Linked DNA regions of Drosophila melanogaster. The gene in region 3 interacts genetically with the main gene of each other region. Each region holds a gene or a part of one and is shown on either strand. Other genes may lie near its edges. The genes, in order: Akt, nero, Tsc1 and S6k.

Evidence for each region.
Region 1: of Tsc1 (region 3) and Akt, changing one suppresses a phenotype caused by changing the other (phenotypic suppression), as found in Drosophila melanogaster (2 studies listed by BioGRID).
Region 2: of Tsc1 (region 3) and nero, changing one suppresses a phenotype caused by changing the other (phenotypic suppression), as found in Drosophila melanogaster (one study listed by BioGRID).
Region 4: of Tsc1 (region 3) and S6k, changing one suppresses a phenotype caused by changing the other (phenotypic suppression), as found in Drosophila melanogaster (one study listed by BioGRID).

What each region holds. Positions count from the first base shown.
Region 1 is NT_033777.3:16,097,552-16,105,238, reverse strand, and holds the start of Akt (Akt kinase), read right to left. Parts: upstream 6,012-7,687; 5' UTR 5,579-6,011; intron 4,480-5,578; exon of another isoform or gene 4,460-4,479; intron 4,340-4,459; 5' UTR 4,296-4,339; coding exon of another isoform or gene 4,053-4,295; coding exon 3,513-4,052; intron 3,445-3,512; coding exon 3,247-3,444; intron 3,182-3,246; coding exon 2,792-3,181; intron 2,729-2,791; coding exon 2,495-2,728; intron 2,427-2,494; coding exon 2,280-2,426; intron 2,209-2,279; coding exon 2,125-2,208; 3' UTR 1-2,124. Other genes in the region: Mhcl (myosin heavy chain-like), read left to right, coding at 7,651-7,687. UniProt on the Drosophila melanogaster protein: Serine/threonine kinase involved in various developmental processes. During early embryogenesis, acts as a survival protein. During mid-embryogenesis, phosphorylates and activates trh, a transcription factor required for tracheal cell fate determination.
Region 2 is NT_033777.3:31,745,936-31,749,449, reverse strand, and holds nero (nero), read left to right. Parts: upstream 1-1,891; 5' UTR 1,892-1,974; coding exon 1,975-2,883; 3' UTR 2,884-3,005; downstream 3,006-3,514. Other genes in the region: CG1910 (uncharacterized protein), read right to left, coding at 1-243, 1,364-1,444; awd (abnormal wing discs), read left to right, coding at 3,507-3,514. UniProt on the Drosophila melanogaster protein: Catalyzes the hydroxylation of the N(6)-(4-aminobutyl)-L-lysine intermediate to form hypusine, an essential post-translational modification only found in mature eIF-5A factor.
Region 3 is NT_033777.3:24,128,443-24,135,197, forward strand, and holds Tsc1 (Tsc1), read left to right. Parts: upstream 1-1,864; 5' UTR 1,865-1,962; intron 1,963-2,053; 5' UTR 2,054-2,223; coding exon 2,224-2,317; intron 2,318-2,377; coding exon 2,378-2,634; intron 2,635-2,695; coding exon 2,696-5,006; intron 5,007-5,063; coding exon 5,064-5,221; intron 5,222-5,347; coding exon 5,348-5,477; intron 5,478-5,534; coding exon 5,535-5,887; 3' UTR 5,888-6,212; downstream 6,213-6,755. Other genes in the region: GatB (Glutamyl-tRNA amidotransferase, subunit B), read right to left, coding at 57-180, 244-380, 450-874, 930-1,245, 1,310-1,423, 1,482-1,626, 1,680-1,741; Sec10 (secretory 10), read left to right, coding at 6,472-6,504, 6,565-6,755.
Region 4 is NT_037436.4:5,807,898-5,812,843, reverse strand, and holds the start of S6k (ribosomal protein S6 kinase), read left to right. Parts: upstream 1-1,912; 5' UTR 1,913-2,443; coding exon 2,444-2,554; intron 2,555-4,855; coding exon 4,856-4,896; intron 4,897-4,946. Other genes in the region: mad2, read left to right, coding at 1-129, 191-594; kri (krishah), read right to left, coding at 769-779, 926-1,458, 1,524-1,765.

The DNA.
Region 1 (7,687 bases), 8.0 Mb from region 3:
TTTTGTTTTTTTTTTTTTAATCGAAACCAAAAATTGTCTCACACAACTCAGTAAACTTAGACAACTATTTTGAAAGGTCTCTTTCGTCCCCTTCGACGGGTAGAAAATGCTTCGATTTGGGATACCAGAGATGTTGACGTTCACTAAGGCTAGTATTCAATTTGCTTCGGATGTCCCTAACCGATTTCTAAGTCTTTGCTTTAGATTTCTAGCTGGTTGCCCCTTGGCTGGCAGACTTGCCTAACGAGTCTGTCAGAAGGGTTATTGGGCTTGTTGAAGTCGATTCTCGGGTTGTATGTCTATTAAGCCATGCTTAGGGGTTCTATATTTTGTCTATGTATTGCTTGATCGATCTGAGATTGATATTGGCTAGCCTAGATGTCAGCCGCAAACTTGGTGAGCAGAAAGCAAGGACTTTAAGCTGTTCAAGGATATAAAGATTGGTTCAATCGGAGCTATCTGATATCTCTCCTCAGCATAGGCTGGCTTTAGCTAGTTAGTTCGTTCCTAGTCATGATTTGGAACCATCATCGTCACATGTCCAAGACTCCAACCGAAACATCCCGACTTGCTGGCTCCTCAATTCTCGGTTCTCCTCGAGTTCCACCTAACTTCGCCGCTTCTTTGGCATTTTCTTTTCGTTTCTATATCCCTTCGTTTTCGATTTGCTGTTTATTGTAATCATCGAGTGATAGGTTTCGTTTAACATTTAGAAGAGAGATTATGCTTTCAATTTCTTTGTTTTCAGTTGAAATTCCCGAACTTGATTTTATTTAATAATTTTTATTTACAATATTTATTTTGTTTTCTTTACGAAATATAAAATAACTTTTTGTTTCGTTTTATTCTTGATTTTTGTTTTTATTGCGCATATAAAAATATCAAAAATTCTTTATTTTCTTTTAGGTTTTTTTTCTGTTTATATAATTTTTAATCTTCCTTTTGGAACTATTTGTAAGTCTGTTGTGGTTGATTTATATATATTTTTTGCTGACTTGCTCTAAGTATACAAAACTTGTTATGAACTTTTCAATGCCAAAAATGAAATGACAAAGATACATTTTTTATTGTGTCAAAGGTTAAACCTTTTCTGTGGCCTCAAATGGTGACTTCCATTTTCCACACGACACATACATCCTTTGTTTTTTTTTTGCATTTACTCTTGAGTTTTTGCTTTTTTTTTATAAATATTTACAAATATATATTTTTCGTAAAAAATTATAATAAAAAATGGCGTCAATTGTAATCATTTTGCTGTTGCCGTTATTGTTTCGAAATATGTTTCTGCCTGAATATAACTTTTAGTTGCTTGCTAATTATTGGCGCCTATAAACTGCATTGATGTATGTTTCCCTCGTTTATTAACTATTAGTTTGTTTGTTTCTGTTGTTGTAGTTTTGCATAAAGCACAGCACATTAGAGGCAATTTTAACATTATATATAACTTGTAATTGTTTCTGTTTCTTTTTTGCTTCTTTGGAGTATAAATAATTTATATATACGAGTGTTGCATGTGGGGGCGGTTGTTGAATATGTGTATTTCGATTTGTTGCTGTCAAGTTAACTAAACTTCATGTTCGCTATATGCTAAGTGGCTGTGTGAGTGCTGTCTGCGTGAATAATCTGTATAATCAATCAGCTTAAGCGACCCCTAGAGGATGCGATCCGATGATGCATGCTTTATCCTAGCACTAAGTCGCTCTAAGTCGCTTGGTTAAATGTTTTCCTTGCGTTTAAAATTAACTAATCACTTCAAGCGCTATGCCCCAAGTGTTATATTTAGTTGTATATATAATTATATATATATATATATATATATTTATATATATGTGTATAATCATATGTAGTAAATTATTTTCCTCGGCTTCGGCTGTTGCCCTTTCGTTCAACGTTCCCTTTCTCATTATACAAAAATAAGTTACTATCAATTCAATTCTCTTATTATTGGTGTATATAAACTAGCAAGAAAACCCTTTGCTTGCCTTCGTTATCATGGTATAATTAATATTTAATATATTCTTGCTGTTGTTTTCTTTTGCCCATTTCTATGTGTTATAGGTATAGTATAGTAATAGGTGATGAAGCAGAACATGATGTGTGCTGGTAAAAGTTTGTAAACTTGTTCTATTGCATCGATGCGAGACTTGTGGAAGTACTAATGTGCGACGAGGTGCCCAACGTGGAGGCCATGTCTCCTTGGTAGCTGAACTGTGGCGGTGAAACCAAAAATTGGATGAGCATACAGAACCCCACTTTAAATGTTTTCAACTAGATCTTACCTGCGGGAAAAGCGGCTCTTCGGCTATGGAGCCCAACGGGCCAGTGGGATCCGGCGGCGTCAACTCCACACTCTCTCCCGTAAACTCCTTGTCGAAGTACCTTGTATCCGTATCGGATGTCACCTGAGGCTTGAAAGGCGGCGGTATCTACGGTAAGCATTTTAAATTCGATTAATATATACGAATAGGTAACTGACAGATTTACTGTGCCCTACTTTTTTCAACACTAGATCTGTCCAGTTAATACTCGCAAAGAATGGATGTGCTTGTATCTCCTTGACATCATCCTTTCCACCTCCCAAACGCTTTTTGGGATCCTTAGCTAGAAGGCCTGCTAACAGATTTTTCGCCTCATCTGTGATATTACGCGGGAATTTTACCTCCTCCACCAAAATCAATGTAAAGAGCACATCATGATCACGATTGTAAAACGGAAGACGACCACAGATCTGTAAGGAATTATTTTTGTTTTTAATACTTGTTAATAGTATTTGCAGATGCAACAAACTCACCATCTCGTACATGACCACGCCAGTGCCCCACCAGTCCACCGCTTGGCCATAATCATTGTCATCTAATACTTCCGGAGCTAGGTATTCCGGTGTACCGCAGAAGGTTTTCGTTGTGCGGCCGTAGGTGATGTCCTCCTTGCACAGACCGAAGTCTGCGACCTTTATGTGACCATCTTTGTCCAGCAAAAGATTTTCCAGCTTTAAGTCGCGATAAATTATGCCCTGTGAATGCAGATAGCCCAGAGCAGAAATGATCTCTGCCCCATAGAAACGTGTTCGATCCTCAGTAAATATGCGTTCGTGGCTTAAATGCCAAAAGAGCTCGCCACCGTTCACGTACTGCATCACAAAACACAGGCGGTCGTTGGTTTGAAACGAATATTTGAGTGACTGCAAAACAGGGAAGACATATATTAGTTTTTTAACGTAAATTATATATTACTAGCAATACTTACAATGAGGAACGGATGATTTGTGGACTTGAGCACACGACTCTCGGTCAGGGTATGGGCCACCTCGTCCTTTTGGATAATAACTTCCTTTTTAAGAATTTTGATCGCGTACAGCTTGGCGGTAGCCTTCTCGCGACACAAAATAACCTTACCAAAGGTGCCCTTGCCGAGCACCTTGAGGAACTCAAAATTCTCCAAAGTCTACAAGGAGATAAGATGGAGTCAGCTCGATCACGCCCTTGGTCAATGACCAGGTGAGTGGTACTTACCACTTTCTTAACGCCGCTGCTATTACAAGTCGTTCCCTGTACGGAGAACTGCTCGGAAAGCTCGTCCTCGGCAATGGTGGCCATGTCCACGTCTGTCATGTCTGTCTGTTCAGATGGCGTCATAGCCACCTCACCCACATCTATGAGCCGGCTGGATACGTTGCGAATGGCCTCCGTCCACTGCTGGCGCTCTAATTCTGATTCGACGGCAAATGTCCTTTCGATTACCGTGGTCCATTGCAGGCCGCGGATGATGAAGGTGAATGGCTTGGGCCGATCGACGGTCATGATCTGGCAGCCGCGCACCGTAAAGTTGTTGAGCAGGAAGTCCGATGGCGTGCTGGCACTATCTGCCGGCTTGCTGCGGTAACCCATCAGTCTTCCATCGGAGTGGAGCACGAAGTAGCGCTGGCGCCAGTTCTTTATGTGCTCGCCCCTCTTCATCAGCCACCCCTCCTTTACGACCTGAGTCTGTTCCGTAAGCGCATGACCCGATGTAACGCTGGGCGAGCTGAGGTCGAAAGTTGTGTTTATTGACATGGTTCCGGAATCGTGTGTAGGGGCCGCGGAGGTCCTGCTTGGCCAGGATTGCTGCCAGCTGAATTTCTCTGCACTGCCGCTGGTGGGGCTGCTGTTTGGATGGGTGGATTGGCTGTAGATGATGTTAATGATGTTGCTCCCTGTGGTGGTGGGCGATTCCGGGATCCTAGAGGCAGATCCTGGCGCTGGGGCGCTGGCAACCACAGTCGATCGCCGCTGAAGAACAAACGGTAGGTAATTCGTGTTGAGGCTGTTTCACTAACCCTAGGGACAAGCTAATGAGGGACCTGTAAGAGGAGTACAGTGAATCCTTTATATTCATGCTGAGTTTGAAATACTTAAACTAAGAATGCGATCGACGAAAAGAAAAAGGCTTTAGCAGAGGGTTCGTCTAGTAACACCTTTACCTTCAGGGATTCAACATGTACTAGATATTAACTGATCCGCCAACTGTCGACATAAACTAGTCAAAGTGGACAAATGGAGTTCCCAAATGAGCTAGCTATCAAAAAAGGGGAAACAGACACTAAAAGGCTGCCAAGTCTATCCAGATATATACTTCCCACATCGCCTATCTCACGCTGATAGTAAACAATTGTTATTGTCATTTTGCATGTTTATGACAAATGCAGTTGGCGCTTGCGTCAGCAGCTGGTGCAAAACATTTGCGGCATTTCCGTCGCCAGAAAGGGATTGAATTGGATTGAGGACTGTGATTCTGATTGTATCGAATTGGATGGGTTGGTATGGTGTGGCATGGTATGGGATTGGATTCTTAGTCACTGGCCCACATGCAGATGTAGGCGCCATCGTCGCCTTGTTGTTGCTGCCACTTTCGGCTTCAAACGAAATTCCCCGCCATGTTACGCAGCGACACGGCGATACGAGTGAAAATTGTTCGCGATTGCATTTAGCGCGAAATTAAATCAAAACAAGTCGACGGCGGCGACTGTTCATGAACTTATGTATATGCATATATAATACATACATATACATATGTACACATACAGGGGACTCGCAGGCGGCACTCGCACTCGTACTCGCACTCACACTGGCACAACTGCAAAAGCAAAAGCATATTCATTTACAATTTGCGAAAATGTCAACGACGGATGGCCGCCGGCTGTACAAATGTCGCTATCTATCTAAAACTGTAAACAAATGTACATAAAATAAAAATCGACAAAATACACACACAGGCATAAGCGGACAGGCGCTCGCACACCGAGGCAGTCACACAGACAGGGCTGCATTGCAAAGTGCGAGTGAGGCCAGACTGTGGGTGCGAGGGGGAGGGAGACAGACAGTACGCGTGTCTGCCACAAAGGTGTATGAGTGTGAGTGTATGTGTGAGTGTCTGGCCGTGTGCGTGTGATTGTCTGGCCGTGTGGGTGTGAGTGGCTGAGTGAGTGAACCACCGAGTGTGCGAGTGTGTGTGGGCAGCGGCGACCTAGCAGCGCAACATGTCAAATCACTTCGTGGAAATGGAAATTGTGGAAATGCTGGTGAAAAATACAAGAACCCACCTAGTTTTGTAAAAAAAAAAACCCGACTTTTGCTTTCCCTACTGCACTGCGGTTTGTTTTCCTACTCGTTTTGGTATTTTCCTTTAGATGGTGACGGCAGCGACAACGTCACAGGCCTTCTTATTATTGTGCGTGTGTTGTTGTTGCTGCTTGCTATTGTTGTTGTTGCTGCTGCTGCTGTAGTTGTTGTTGTGTTAAGGTGCCAGACACCAGAGGACGGAACGAAACACACACAATCTCGCACTCGCGCACTGGAAGTCGATTTCCGCCACCCGGGCGTTTCCACTTGGTGTTTTCTTGCCTTCCAAAGCAACGTTGCATCAATTGCAAATGCTTAAAAACGTAGTTTTCATAAACAGAAGCACGCACACAGGCAAAGTAAATTTTCCAAGTACCGTTTAGTTTTTACGCTTCACTTTTTTTCGATAACTGGCTCGATAACTGATTCGATCCGCGTTGCCACCTGTTTTAGCGATAGTTAGGCGACTGTTACGGTGGAAAGATGCCAGAGAGAGACATTATTTAAGAGCTGTACAACGCGCAAATATCCCTTAAATTTAAATTAAATGTTTTAGAAGGCAATAGTTCTGTTTTCTGACTGTCTAGGCCGACTCTTTAACTAGAATTCACTTCAAATTTGAATGTATGAACTGCAGATTAATAATAATGCTGTATTGTTATTAAATTCATTTTTAAAAACTTTATTTTATATGCTATGTATACAAAACTATTTCTTATATCGACAAATTGTTATAACTTTTCAAAGCATAATTGATCAAAAATTTGGAAGCCCTATCAATTTTATATATGGTTCCTGTCCGCACTAAGTAGATACTCTGATAAGTATGACCATGTGTAAGTAGCTAGAAAAAGTCAGTTCTCTTTTCCAGTTTCCCAGATCAAATTTGATATTCACCTCTTTGGGCACTCTTGCTCAGATTTGTTTATGCAGAACGCGAAGTCTCCTTTGAATCCGAAAAAAAAACAAAAAACGAGTAGCGAATAAAGTGCCCCATTGGCACAAAACGAGGTAAATAACTTGCAACCCAATCGGAAGGGAGAACATAGCATGCCACTTTCAAATAAACAAATAACGACTCCAGCGCGACTGTGTGTGCGTGAGTCCCTCCCAATGTTTGTGTGTGTTATCAAAAAAGGCGTAGAAAAGTGCAAAAACAAAGGTGTTATTGACTCTCAACTTTCTTTTTCTGCCTATCGTGTGTATCACTGTGGGCTGTGGCCGAATAAGAGCGTTCGCCGAATATGAGCAATTGGAAAAGCATGAGCATAAGTAATGAGGCAGAATCGGTTGCATTCAATTAGTTGGAGAAATGAAAAATATGAAGAGATGGTGTAGAGAGAAGGGAAGAGTGCAGTCTCGAGCAATCAATACCAACGCAGCCACGAGCCCCCCTTTCTTTGTGTGTGTGTGTGTTACCGTGTGAAAACAAAACAAATGTATGCTAGCTGTGGAAAAGAAAGCGCATAATTGAATAATAAATAATAACAGAAACAGGGCAAATGGCAACGACTCAATGACAAAAGTAAAGCCGCCACCGCAGCAGAAGAAATGTGGGTGCAAAAGTGAAGAAATATGCCATTGTTTATGTGATTTGCAAATGTGCACATTCACACAAACACCGTGGCAAGATAACGGTTGTTGTGCGGGCGGGTGCATTGCTCGAAGTGGCTGTGCAATTGTAAGAGCGAGATAGCAATACGAAGAGAACAGGACTGAGCAGTACAGGGGCGAAATCCAGGGGACCTTAAACGTGGATTATGGGCACCTTAAATGTTTTTGTAAAATCAAATCACATAAATACCGTACTTTAAACTATTCAGTGAATTAAAATTGTGTTACTGATTTTAAAAATGTAAGTTGTAATTTCAAGTTTGGAAATGAACGGTATGCCCTGCACGTTTGTCTAGATCCACCCCTGGATAGAGCGCAGCAAAGAGAACAGTGCAAATCGAATTAGTCCAGACTTTTGGTCACGCCCTTGAACTTCGCATTAACCCACCAACGCCCCCCTTCCGCAGCTAGCACCTAAGGACCCCACACACCACATAAGATGTTCAACTTTATGAAGAAGAGCGCTGGGGATGAGG
Region 2 (3,514 bases), 7.6 Mb from region 3:
GTCTAGCTTACGTGCTCCGCGTCCCTTTCCTGCACTGGCCTTTGTGGCCGAGGCCGGCGAAGTGCGCGCCTTTTTGCTGGGTGGCGGCGTCACTGCCTCGGCGGCTCGCGTCGGCGTTCCTCGAGTGCTAGACCGCGTCCGCCGCCCGCCCGCCAGCTCCAGGCTTCCGCCCATTGTTCGCACAAGCTCCTCGCTTTCCTTCTGCGCCCGCTCAATGAACGAGCGGCGTTTGGGAGTGCGTTTCTGTAATAGAGGAGAGATCGGGTTCGGTAAGTTATATTTCAGTATACATAAGCAGTAGTGCTACTTTTGTAAGTTTGATTTCCCGCCAAAACGCAATTGTCTTTGAGGGAATGAAGATGCTATTTTACGCCTTTTTTTTATTTTTTTAATATACCTGATATTCCATATTTTTCTGATTCACTAATGTTTCGTCATATGAAACATTGTAGTTAAAAGTGCATTCCCTATAACACCAAAACATGTGCAAGATGGGCTGAAACCACGGCGCTTTATTAGTGACTCAAAAATACAATTATATAGAAGAAACAGAATCATGTATTTATATTTAAACTCTTATCGGCAATAATTAAGCGTTTAAATCCAAGTGCGCACTGTACTATTGTTGACATGGCCAAGTGACCGCAGCAATTGCACCCGCATCGACCCGCTTGCAGCTGAATTCACACAACAGACCCCAAATGAACCCCCACATTAATAGCTGTCGATCGGAGGAGTTGAGTTAGACATCGATGTGTACGTACGTATATCTATTAGTAAAGTCGCCGCTAAAAAATGGAACCGAATCTAGAGCGCAACGTATCGCATACATACACATGCACAACACCGCGGAGCGGATGCAAGTGTTCGTGCCGCCTTGTATGACAAAGTACAGCAAACAACAAAAAGTCGAAAAGGGAACAAGCAAAAATAAAAACAAACGAGACGCGGCGGCAGCGGCAAAACGTGAGCCTGAAAGGGAATCGCCGATTGCCCTGCTTCTCTCGTCATCTCCTCTTCTCTTCTTCTTCGGCGAGTAGCTACACACGTATACACACACGCACACATGCTGCTGGCTTCCTCAGCAGGCGGGGGAAGGGGGAGTTGGAAAGTGGACAGGAAAAAGCAAAAAGCGCGCGCACACGAGGGTAGCCGTTGAAAAAAGAAACGTAAATAGAAACGGACACAGCGCACAAAGGGAAATGGTGAAAATGCACCACATCCGAGTGCCCATATACACACACAGTTATTTTGGAAAAATACCGCAGATAATTCGGGCAAAGCAAAGCGGAGCCCGTGTTGGTGTGCGTTATCGCCGTGCTATGTTAATTGTCGCTAAATATGTGTATGTGCGGCTACTTACGGGAGTCTGCTTCTCGTCCCCCGTCGACGCATTCACATCTTCCACCGCCTCCGGCTTTTGGGCCACAGTTGCCTCCGACATTGTTTAAAATAAACGCTGGGCGGTTATCCCTATATCTTTCCAAAACTTCAAAACGGTGGCGAGGTTTACTCCACTTCCACTCTCGCAGGCGCACACAATTACAGGTAACTCAACTCGACACACACGCCACGCTTCGCATACCGTGAACGCGCAACTTTCAGAAATGCCGATTTTGCGGAAACTTTTCACCGTGAAGAGCCGCTCTTTTGGTCACCGATGCTGCGCCAGGACTGAGTCAGTATTTTTGAATACTTTCTGTGTCTAGAACGTTCGCTTTTCACCCTTTTATTGACTTTTTTGTATCGCGCTTCTACGGAGTAAACGTAACTAAACTGCTTCTTGCTAGTGCTGCACAATTTGTACTCTAAACGCGTTGGCAGCGCCGTTTCATCGACTCATAGTCCATCGATAGCCACGTCATATCGATTACTTGTAGTTTTGGTATTACCAAGTACTGAGTGTATGGCCACATTGCGACACCACACGCGGCCCGTTGCAGTTTTTTATTTATAAGTCCACACCGCATACAAATGGTTTCGCAGCAGCAAATCGAGGCCATTGGAGGCGTTCTGAACAACAAGGAACGCCCACTGAAAGAGCGCTTTCGAGCCCTCTTCACGCTGAAGAACATCGGCGGAGGAGCGGCCATCGAGGCGATCAGCAAAGCCTTTGACGATGATTCGGCCCTTCTCAAACATGAGCTGGCCTACTGCTTGGGTCAGATGCAGGACGCACAGGCGTTAGACATCCTCACCAAGGTGCTAAAGGACACCACCCAGGAGCCGATGGTGCGCCACGAGGCTGCGGAGGCCATGGGCGCCATTGGTCATCCAGATGTGCTGCCAATTCTGGAGGAGTACAAACAAGATCCGGTAGTGGAGGTGGCCGAAACATGTGCCATTGCTCTGGACCGCGTCCGCTGGCTGCAGAGTGGCCAAAAGGTAGATGACAGCAACCCTTACGCCTCCGTTGATCCCTCACCGCCAACTGCGGGCGACAAGAGCGTCACCGAGCTGAAGGCCATCTATCTGGATGCCCAGCAGAGCCTGTTCGATCGATATAGGGCCATGTTCAGCCTGCGCAATCTGCGCACCGAAGAGAGTGTCTTGGCCATTGCCGAGGGACTTAAGGACTCTTCCGCCCTCTTCCGCCACGAGGTGGCCTTCGTACTGGGCCAGCTGCAAGAACCCTGCAGCATTCCCTTCCTTCAAGAGAATCTGGAGGATCGCCTGGAAAACGAAATGGTGCGTCACGAGTGTGCCGAGGCCCTTGGCGCCATCGCCACAGAGGACTGCATTCAGATCTTGAACCGCTACGCCGAGGACGACAAGCGCGTGGTCAAGGAGAGCTGCGTCATCGCCCTGGACATGTGCGAGTACGAGAACAGTCCGGAGTTCCAATATGCCGACGGCCTAGCCAAACTAGACGCGACCAAGTGATTTTCGCCGAACATTTGCATCTACCAGCTGTGTATATATTAGTCGTAAACTTGTATTGTTTTGTCACTTCTGTGATCACATGGACCTAATCTTATCGAGACATAAAAAGAAATTTGAACGTGACTTCCCTGTGGTTTTTGATTAACCTGCTGGATGGATGAATCAACTGGTGGGAATGCTGATGCTAATGAGTGCCTAGTAACTATCCTAGTTTGACGGGCATTTTATCATCAACTGTGGGCAACTCTTTGTTTTTTTTTAAATGTTTTAATGTGTCTAGTAATTAAAAATAATACTATTGAGTTTTCGTTATTTTTGCTTTAAATTATTCGATGAAATGCATTCAGAATACATTCTGAAATTCAAAGTACAAGGCGACATGGCAGCCCCATTTGAGCGGTTATAAACTGAAAAAAATATGAATACTTTAGCAATGCACTCAAATTTCCGCTTTGGAATTTAAATAACAAGTATTTTCCTATCCTTTAAATCGCCCAACAAAAACAAAAACTCAAGAACGCGGCTGGCTGCCCAGTGTGACCACTTGACGATTTCCCACAATTCACCTTGCCGGCATTTCGTATTCGGGATTTTTTTGCAACGGCGAACACATGAAGCTCCTGATGCTCGG
Region 3 (6,755 bases):
TGATGGGAAGATAATGTGTGTAATCTCATAAATTTGGAATATTAGGCGAAGCTTACCTCACTGACTTTCGCTTTGGGGTTATTATGAAGCAGATCAACCAGCTGACGTGCTGCCTGGAGATTTATCAGCTCGGCATGCAAGCTCATTAATATATCTTTCAAATCATCAGCCTTAATGGAGCTACATTAGGATGAACACAATAAATTAGTAAAATTCATTAGGTATGTTACTCCCTATTATTACCAATCCTCCACATCTAAGTTCAATTTGTTGCAATAGGTCAACAAATCGTTTATAAGAAAATTGCAAATGACTTTGTTGGGCAAATCACTTAAACTACGGGTAATGCTCAAGAAATGATCCAGCAGAATAGGTTCGTTCTGAAATAAAATCGAGGAGTGTTGCAATTTCAAATTTTTTGTTGACTCAAAAAGGATCAGAGCACGCACCACTAAAATGATGGCAGTTTCCGCATTCAGGTTGTGCTGCTCCACCAAACGTTGCCTGGTGTCCTCTGGTAATTCTGGAATTTCCTCGCTTAGAGCAGCCACTGAAAGTAAATCCTCTGTTGACATTGATCCAGGCTTTAGGTTTACATGAAGGGGTGGTAGATTCGGCTCCGGCATGAATCTGTAGTCCTGCAGCACCTCTTTGTCACGCATGGCCACTGTGCGCCGGTTCTCCGCATCCCAGTTGCGAGTCTCATTTGTAATTACACCGCCATTAGCCACAGTTTCTAGCTGTCTATTAATTTCATACGTAATTGCTTGCGAAATGCTTCGAACCGAGCCAATGTTTTTTACTTCGGTGCGGACTCCCAAGGGATCGCCTTCTTGGTGAATGGATATGTTGGCATCCACACGCAGGGCGCCCTCTACAATAAAAAATACTCGGTTTAAAAAAAGGCACACAAATCCCTTTTGACTCACCTTCCATTTTACAACTGCATGTCTGCAGACGCCTTAGTATCAGTATTAATTCCTTGACCAGCGATGCCGCTTCTTCGCCCGTTTCTAAATCTGGTGCAAAAACCAGCTCCATTAGAGGAAGTCCAGCACGATTAAGGTCAACCAGGCTCCTTTTGAGATAATCATCGTGCAGAGATTTACCACTATCCTGTTCCAATTGCAACTGCAGTAGTTTGGCGGTCTTGTAGTAAACTTTTTTGCCTGGTGTTATCACGGGGAAAGTCATTTTTCCATCATTGGCCAAAGCGGCGCGCTGCTGCGTGATTTGGTAGCCATTCTGGGGAGGAGAAGTTTATTACTTATAAGGCTTAGCGTGGTGTAAACTGAAATTTGAATCTTACAGGCAAATCTGCATAGAAGTAGTGCTTGCGGTCAAACATGGACACTTCGTTCACCCGACATCCCAAAGCAAGTGATGTCTTAATGCCGGATTCCACACATTTTCTGTTGAGAACCTAAAAGCAGAGGATACAATGTAATGATGGCGTCTTAAGTGAGAGTACCTATTCTCACTGGCAATGTTCCCGGTATGGAGGCATCAAAATACGCCACCGAAGAGTTAAGTGGTGCTCCAAAGGATGTGCCACTGCCGGAAAACAGTTTGGACGCACTGGCAATCTGTGCGTGCACCTCCAAACCCACAACGCTTTTCCATTTCCTGAAATTCAGAGCGTTGGAATGAATCCTTATAATATTAATTCACATAATTACCTTTTGGGAACGTTGGCTAGCTTTGGCGCCGTTACCAGTTTTCGGATTATTGAGTAATGCATTATTTTACATCGATTATAACATTCGCACCGGAATTGGCAAAAAGTTGCGCCAAAACAGCTGATGTTGTTTTGATTGCGGCCAAAGCTGCCGGACATTCGCCAGCGGCGTTGCCAGACAAAACCATCGATTGGCTGGCGATAACAGCGCAAGAGGAATATCACAAAAAAATAACCTTTTCATTTTCAAGACAAACATGTAAAAAAATATGAGTTTAGCAGAGGTAAGCATTTTAAATGTGCACTCCACAACCGAAACAATAGTGCAGTGCATCGAACGCAGTGGGAATTTCAATGCCAACCCTTGTTCTCCAGTTCACAGCGACCAAGACGAGAAAAAGCACACGCAGCTCTGCAAAAGACAACCACGACGACGAGTGAGTGGAGTAGAAGGACCAGGAGCGGAGTAGCAGGAGCAGGAACAGTCGACCGAGGGCGGGCGGAAAAATCAATCATAGCGACAGGAAACCAATAAAGCCGCCGTCATGGTGATTGAGAAGATCATTGGTGACCTGGAGTCCAACATGACGCTGGAGAACGAGGAGGCCAAGCGCAAGCTTGTGGAGTTGCTATCCCAGAGTGAGTCCTCGCCAGTTTCAGTTAATATGCCACCTATTCCAACATACCATTTCCCCACAGACAAGGAGCAGTGGGTGGTAAAGTTCATGCTGGACTACTTCTTTACAACTGGATCTCAGCGCATTTTGGAGGTACTGGTCAAAGCCCAGGCACCTCACGATGGGTACATCTTTGACAAGCTGGACGACTGCCTAAAGCAGTCGCAGCACCGAGTGCAGAGCCTCCAGGTGTTCTGCTTCATTGTGCGCCATCACCCTACTTGGCTGTACAAGATCGAGAAACACCGGCTGATCAAAAGTGTTTTTAAGCTTATGACGGTGAGTTTATGGGTGTTTACAATTTTGTCCGAGTTCAGCATCACTTCCATTTCTCTGACAGCACGAGAAGGAGATAGTTCCGCTGATGAGCGCCCTGTTGTGCATAATTACTCTGCTGCCGATCATACCGAATTCTGTGCCCAACTTTCTTAACGATCTGTTTGAGGTGTTCGGGCATTTGGCCTCGTGGAAGCTGCAGAATAGCAATAAACTGCCGGACGAGAAGCTCGTCCACCTGCAGTTGGGTCTACAGATGCTATTTCACCGCCTGTACGGCATGTATCCGTGCAGCTTTATTGCCTATTTAGTGGAGTTCATCAAGCGAGGCAACGGCGGGGGCATCTTCCAGCATACAATCAAGCCGCTGTTGAACACTGTGCGAGTGCATCCCATGCTGGTGACGGCCACGCCAGAGACTGAGGTAAACAATACGCGATGGAAGGAGATGGAGCCGCATGACGTGGTTATGGAGTGCGCCAACCTATCGCTGCCCGTCCTCTTGCCCGAGACGAGCAACGAAGACGGCAGCTATGCGTATCCCATGACGCCAGGATACAGTCGCATGACTTCAAATACCTCGAATACGGACTACAGCTATCAGCTGAGGGAGTTTCAGCAATCGAGAAATGTCTACACCCGCTTCGATTCGTTTGCCTCGGGTGATGATGTGGGTCCGATCTGGAGTCCGCATAACGAGATTGCCACGACCAGTAGCGGCATACCGCTTACACCCACCACATCGTTTATTTTGCCACTACAACCGGCTATGAACTCTCAGCTTATGGTTGGCATGACTGGCTCCTCACCGCCCGAAGCAGCTGTGGAGGCCACACCGGAAACCACCCCCTTAAAGGATATGAGGGATATCAAGCAGCCGGGACGTGCGGTCAATTCGCATGCTGTGAGAGCTATCTTCGCCGTAAGCCAGCCTTCTTCACCCATGCGCAAGGACCAGCAGAGTCAGTTCAGTTTCCCGGATGTCTCTCGCGAGGCGGAGGAGAGCAGCCACTCATATCTGGAGGTCAACAGAGGAACTGCCTATGACCGTCGCCTGTCGCAGGTCATCCAGGACAGGCATAACGTGGAGCGATCTGTAAACACACCTTGTCCAAGCAGCCTGCCAGAAATTAACTCCGATTTATCCCTTGTTGGTGGTTCCGTCTATCCATCTGTCACGCAGGAGGTCGCTGCAGTTTGTGGCGAGTGCAACGAGACGGATAGGAACCTCTGCAGTGTGGGTGGACTTCATATGCCCACCAGCCGATCCATGCACCAGCTGGCAAAGAAGCGCCGCAATCGTATGGCAAGCTACAGTGGAAATGGTTCCTGTGCGGACAGCAGAAGTTCGGCGGCAAAGAAGGCAAGTTGGAGTACTGAGGCAGAGAACCCAATGCGACGAACCAAATCCTGCTCGGCCCTTTCCGGAATGCGGCAGCAGCATCTGGAGGAGAATGATGACGAGGCCGATTGTTCGAGCCAAAGACAAAGAGGGGAGAATGGAAATACGCAAAAGACTGGCAGCCGCCTGCAGAGGAGCGGCCGGAACCTGGCCATTTCGGCGCCCAAGGATACGGCTAGAAGCTGCACCCATGCCTCCACCCAGACGGTGGAAGGACTGGACAGTGCTCCAGCGCAGTACGAGAATTGGCTTATTGAACTCCTGCTGGAGTGCAAGGAGCAAAGAATCGACTATGAAAGGAACCTTCTGTACCCGCAAGATATTCTAGACGAATACATTAAGCATGCGATCAAGGCCAATGAGTCCTTTGACGCCGAGCAGGGTCAACTGATGTGCCTACAGCTGGAATACGAAAGCTACCGTCGATCCATTCACGCAGAGCGCAATCGACGACTCATGGGGCGAAGCAGGGACAAGCGCAGCCTGGAAATGGAGCGGGATCGGTTAAGGGAGCAGCTTAAGAACTTCGATGCGAAGAACAAGGATCTGGCAAACAAAATGGATCAGGCCATTCGGTTGGCCAACGAGCGCCAGAACATCCACCAGGAGGAGCTGGGCGAAATGAGGGCTAAGTACCAGCACGAACTGGAGGAAAAGAAGTGCCTGCGGCAGGCAAACGATGACCTGCAGACGCGACTCACCAGCGAGTTGGCGCGCCACAAGGAGATGAACTATGAACTGGAGTCTCTGCGAGGTCAGGTCTTCAGTTTGGGAACCGAGCTTCAACACACCCAGCAGCAGGCGGACATTGGGCTGCAGTGCAAGCAGGAGCTGGCACGACTGGAGGCCGAGTTTATTATCATGGGTGAGGTGCAAGTGCGTTGCCGCGACCGTCTGGCTGAGATCGATAACTTCAGGGCCCGCGACGAGGAACTGCAGATGCTACAAGAGAGCAGCAACCTGGAACTGAAGGGTGCCTATTCATTGTTTATATGATACGGATGTTTAATCATTCAGTTTATTTATTAAGATCTGAGGCACAGCCTGGACGAGAAGACATCACAGCTGGAAAGCATGAAGCACAAGATCAGCGACCTGCAGGCCCAGCTAGCCAACAGCGAGAAGGCCATGACGGAGCAAAAGCGACTTCTAAGCACCGTCAAGGATGAGTACGAAGAAAAGTTTAAGGTAGGGCTGATATTTAAAATCGTATACTTATCTGAAATAGTTCGGACTTTTAAGAAATAGTCTGTGTTTACCAGTAACTTCATTTCAATTAAGAGTAATAAGCCTTAAAAATCGTCGTCCTTGCAGTCCGTGAACAAGAAGTATGACGTGCAAAAGAAGATAATTATGCAGATGGAGGAGAAGCTGATGATGATGATGCAGCAGCCGCAAGGAACAACAGGTCATAACACCTGTTCCCCGGACACGGACAGAACTGGTGAGTGCAAGAGCTGCTTCGCAGCTAAAGAATACTTACTATTGCATTCTCCCACAGACATAGCTTCATCCATTGAACGCAACTCACCGCTATCCACGTCGCTGGCCTCGAGCGAGAGCTTATCCGCCAGCCTACGCTCCACGGAGCTGAAGAACCTGCACCAGCTAGTGGACACGCCCACTATTCCGGATGTGCTGAACAGCATGGCCGGTGGCGCTCAGTTCGAGGACGAAGTGCGTCCGCCGGCCGTGGATCTGGCCTCCTCGGCAAGCACCGCCAGTGCCATCAACATCGTGCCGCACGCCTTGGACTTGCCGTCGACCTCCGGCGGCATCGGTCACACGCTCACCCACCCACATCCGCATCCGCACCTGCACCTGCAGCAACAGCAACAGGATCAACTGCAGTAGTAGCAGCAGACGCAGTTTGTAAAAACAAATAAGAACTAGCTTTCCTTCGCTAAACAAATGTCTATTGGGAAAACCCGCACAGAAAATTTACAAAAAAAAGTTATTGGTTCTTCATATTTTCATATTCAGTTCAAAACTGTAACTAAGGTTTAATAAATCGCTGACTCCACGCAATAATTATAAAGGTTATAAAAAATATTAATGTTTGAAATTTTAACTTGTTTAGCACATTGCAATTTGTTGTAAAAAAGTGGTTTTGATACGAGGCAATAAGTAAGACGCGCATTCATATTATAATAAACATTTGATTAAGATCAGCAAACATAAAAGCATTGTTTTATTTTATTTAATTGTAAACATACTATTTGTTATATAACAACCGCCAAACATTTAAATTTTAGCTAAGAGAGCAAACAAAAACGTAAACAAACCGAGCGACATTGCCAGCTGAAAGAAAGTGAGAAGTGTGGCAACCTTAAACGAAACAGCTGAGCGGAAGCAACAATAATATAGAAAGAAGAAGCAGAAAAGAAACGCCTATTAAATCAGATCATTTAAATACGAAAACTTAATAATACATTAAAATGCTATCCCAATACATGGAGGAGTTTGAACAGGTGGGCTCAAAGGTCACGTAGGCCCGATTATGGCTTATATTTATTAATCATAACCAACAGGAACCCTTTGAGGTGGGCGAGTTCATAGAGCGTCTGACTTGGCGCACCAACAATGAACTCCAGAACAGCGAGGACTTTCATCCTGTGGCCCTCCACGATACCTTCATCCAGACCATTAAGGACCTAAAGATCCTGCAGGAGAAGCAACAAAGCAAGTGCGAACGGCTAGAGGAGTCACTGCGCCAGGAGAA
Region 4 (4,946 bases), on a different chromosome or scaffold from region 3:
TCCTCTTCCAACGCGGAATTTACCCAGCCGAAGACTTTAACAACACGCAGCAGTATGGGCTAACCATTCTAATGTCCAAGGATCCCAAGATCAAGACCTTTCTGCAGAACGTGCTCAGCCAAACTGAAGGTTAGTGGTCTTTTGGAAAAAATTCAAGTTTATGGTGACCATTATTTGTATTCACCTATAGAATGGCTCTCGAAGAACATGATCAACAAGATCTCGATGGTCATTACGAACGCCCACACCAAGGAGGTGCTCGAGTGCTGGGACTTTAATATGCAGGCCGAGTTGGGCGATGGCGATATCAGTGATCCCACCAAGGCAACAACCACCAAGGAGCTGAGTCGCATACAGAACGAGATTCGCGACGTTATGCGGCAGATCTCGGCCACCGTGAGCTATTTGCCACTGCTCGATTGCATCTGCACCTTCGACATAATGATTCACACGCTGCAGAACACCGAATTACCGGCCAAATGGGACGAAACGGGTGCCATTGTCATACAGAATCCGCAGGCCGTCCAGCTGCGCTCCTTTTCTACAGGACTGCACAAGGTGGACACCGTGGTCAACTACAAGATGAGCACTTAAAAGGCAGTACCGCCTCATCCTAATGTTTAAATATTTATTTCGTTTCTATATTTACAATAGTGCGTAACGAACGTAACGTATTTGAGAGTTGCATTAAAAGCCAGTTGTGAAAAGCTAACAGTTGCTAAGTAGTAGTTTGGTTGGCCGCAGGGGTCGTCTATTTGTCTGTGTGTCTCAAATGCAATCTGGAGGACGAAACAGAGTGAGAGAGGGTAGCATTTGTTAGTGGAGCGCAACGCAGGAAAGGGCGTTTGTCTGGGCGACAGCTACCTATCCTAAGCAGCGCTTAGTCGTCAAGTCTGCGAGATAGACCCAAGTATCTAGTCTGTACCGAAGTATTTCTGGCCAAAGTGATTAGGTGCCACGGGATGCAGCTCGGAGGTGAGGATCTTCAGCTTGGGGAAGGCATTCACTACGGTCCGAGCGGCAATGGGTGTGCAGAAGAGATTGGACAGGATGATGCAGCTCTCGGGTACGCCGTGTTCCCGCAGCACATTCACCGCCTGCAGCACAGTGTTGCCCGTGGACATGATGGGGTACATGAGTAGCACCTGCCTGCTGCCGATGTCATCGGGAAAGCGGGCATAAACCACGCGGGCCTCATGCGTATTGGCATCGGACTCGACCAGGATCTTTCCAATGCGAATGGAGCGACAGCAGTCACGCAGTCCCTGCTCCATGGCCTCTCCCGATCGGATGATGGACACGCCGCAGTTGCCGGAGCGATACTTCAGTCCCTCGTAAATCGCACCGGTGGGCGTCTCCACATCGCAATGGGTGTAGGGCAGTTGGTTGAGCGACTCCTCGATGACCAGCCGGATGAGACGGTCGGCATAGAACTTGAAGTCACTGCGCGTGGTGTTCCTGGGGGGTAGAATTTTGTTGTACTGCTACTACGCTGCTGACTCCTCCTCCCCAACGTCACCTACTTGTCGCGCAATATGGTCAGCAGTTCGGCCACCTGGGAATTGCACTCGAGTAGCTTCAGGTTGCTGCCGTACTCCGCCAGGATCTCCTCCGATGTGGCAGCTGGCACCGCGGCATGTGCATGCGTGGGAGTGTGCAGCTGTTGCTCCTGCTCCTGGGCTTCCTGCTGCGGCTGCTGGTGATCTGAGGAACTGCTGCCCTCCTCCGACTGGGAGCCGCTGCTGCTGGGCGAGCCGGTGCGCATGACTCGGCTATTTGGTTGCTATCACTGGCTACATAAAATAAATAAATTAAAAGAATTGTACGTAGCACTTTGTCCTCCTAGCGCGTGCTTGGCTTGCTACGGCCACACTTTGTCGCGGCATTGCCGTTCGTTGCGCCTCGGTAATTTCTAGCAATTGGCAGTTAGCGCACGACTGGCCACACTCAGCAAATCACCTCGTGTTTCACTCGCAAACAAAGAAAAAAGTGCATTTTAATTACTGATTACTGCATTGCGATTAGGCGTTCGCGAACAACAACGTTTTCTTGCACATCAGCGGACTCAAAGGGCGCGCGTGGGCAAGGCATTGAGCACAGTGTCTGTGTGCGTGAGTGTGGGTGCGTTGTGCGTGCGTCGCAGTGTTGGTGCGTGTGCCCCCATGTGTGTGTGTATTTGTATTGCCATTAACTAATAAACAATAACCTTCGGGCCACGACGAAAGCCACGAAATCGGCACCGCTGCTGTTCTGTTCTGTACTGTTCCATCTGAACCAACCAGCTGAACAAGGAGACTCATAGCCAGAGACTAAAATAAATCGCCAACGCGCTTCCGCCCCCCCGCGAGAGGAGCGCCCAGTTCAGGAGCGGACCAGCGGCGATCCACTTCCCATATCCATATCCAAACAGAATCGCACTCGCCCAAACACACACACGCACGCAATGGCGGACGTGAGCGATCCCAGCGAACTGTTCGACCTGGAGCTGCACGACCTGGAACTGCAGGACGACAAGGCCAGGGACTCCGACGACGACAGGATCGAGCTGGACGATGTAAGATATAGCCCCCATTCCATGCCATCCCGTGCCAATGCGTGCCGCACCATCCCCCGATGCAAACTGCGCAGCAACAATTTCCCTCTTTGTTTACCTTTTCTGCGCTTTGTCTGCCAGTTTTCCTTTCGCTCGTCTGGGCATCCCGATTCCACACCCCCGAACCAGCATATCCACCAGCCGCACACCCTGCAAACTGGGCTTATCTGCTGCGCAAATGTCTGGCGTCATTCGGTTTCAGTCCAGTCGCCGATTATTCAGCGCATGTACATGCGCTCACTCATTGTACCATAAGTTCGACTCGATCAGAGAAAACCTCCTTACGAAACCACCTTCGATTGATATGGGCCAATCGAAGCCAGTGGTGGTGTCCTTCAAACTAATCAGCCCCAATTGCCCGCCACACTCCATGGCAGCCCCCTGCTTGCCACCGCCCCTGTCTCAGCTGATAATGCAACAACTGCAAAGGTGGTGTGCGAAGGAGAGGGAGGCCCAAAATGAACGCCGACTCGCTCGCACTCTCGCAAGTGTCTTAGCTTCCACTTAGAAAACGAAATTCCTTATCAGCGTGCCATATAAAATTAGAAAATGAGAAAAACCTCCACGCGCCGATAAGGGAGCACAACAAAATGGAAGGAAAAAGGGCAGGCAGGCAGGCAGGCGATTGAGATCGAAATCGAGCGATCGTCGAGCCAAACCGTCGTGTTTGGGGTGGTGGTGCTATACGGAACCAGTTGTAACTGCACCACAGTACACTGGAAAAGAATATTAGTTTCCATAGTATGTAGTCATTAAGTACCGAATTACTGATTACTAATTGTGCTAATGAGCGGTTCTTAAATTGATAAGTTTGTATTTAAACGCTTAAATTACTTCCCGTATTCAATACTAGTCGCAATAAATGCATTTTGGCTAAAGCAAGTTGCTAAAACTCTTAATTCGAATATTAAAAGTTCTAAATTGGCCTGAAATATATGTAATTTAGCAACAATGTGTGTACATATGCCGTCATCTTATGATGTCAATTGATTTATTTTTAGACAAATTGTGTAAAGTAATGGCTTAAAAGTACGAAAATAATCTACTAAAAAGGGAGAGAATAGCTCTTGGGTAATTATCATTTTTCTTTGTGTATTATTGGTTTTGTCTGCCCGGGGGAATTACATAGCTGGAGAAACCTTTTCGGTGTTGATAAGAACCTATCACTACCATATCGCACACCTTTTCCAAGACCTGTCGATTTACTTGATTTACGCAAGCGCGCACACCCCCTCCCTCCGCCCATCCACTGACTTTGTATGAACGCTATAAATTATGATGGATTTGTTAATTGAAATTCACCGCCAACGCTGACGAGGTGAACCAGTTTTTAATGTGCTGCGCGACGAGATGTCGAGATGCGGATTCCTATTCCGATGCCGCCATTCAATTGAACTTTAGTCAAAAATGTTCTATACAAATTTTAGGCATGACGAGAACGACGACGGCGGCTGCGGCTGCTGCTGATTCTTCTGAATCTGCCGCCCCTAACTGTGGCCTTCCTCCGATTGGAGCAGCCGCGTCCGAGGGGGCGGCAAATGGACCCGGAGGGGACGAGGAACAGCGCCAGCATCGCCGGCAGATTATTTGGCATTGTTCCGAGTTCTAAATTTAGTTTGTCATTAAGCGAAAGGTGTGTGTGCGTGTGCGGAAAGTGTACGAATGTACATCTGTGTGGATGCCACGCTCTTTCTCTCTGTGTAAATACCGAATAAGCTCCGTGTGGAGTAGTGGACAAATCGAAGGGTGGTGGAGAAACTCACTGGCTTCACATACTCCAAAGACGGATGCCATCCGAGATCCCAGAGCGAGCCCCTACTACTACTCCGATGCGATCTCTCCATTCATCGGAATCTCCCGCTGCTTAAAACGAAACTGAAAAGTGGGGCAGCACCGAATGGGGATTAAGCATGCAACAAGAAAAATAAAATATAACGATATACGATTTCCCATTTTAGAACTGATTCTTGAGCTATTTTTATTACTAAAAAAGCATATTAAAATTGTGGGCTACTAGCTTTAAGCAACCCACATATATATTACTGCTGGTATAGGCTGATTTTGAAGTATCTGTAAGATTTAGGGCCTCTTGTCTTCGTCGATGCCCGGTGCTGTGTAACTTTCCCTTCTGCTGTTTGCTCCCAAGTTCGCAATAACTATGATTAATTGTTGATTTTTTCGCATGTATACCGCTGGCAGTTATGCTCGCAAGTAGACGCCATCTCACTCACACGCCTCTCCGTCTCTCTTTCGCATTTGCAGGTTGACCTAGAACCGGAATTGTGTATTAATCTGCACCAAGAGTGAGTAATGCCAGTGCTATGCCGCCACATCGGAGGACGTGACTGTGACG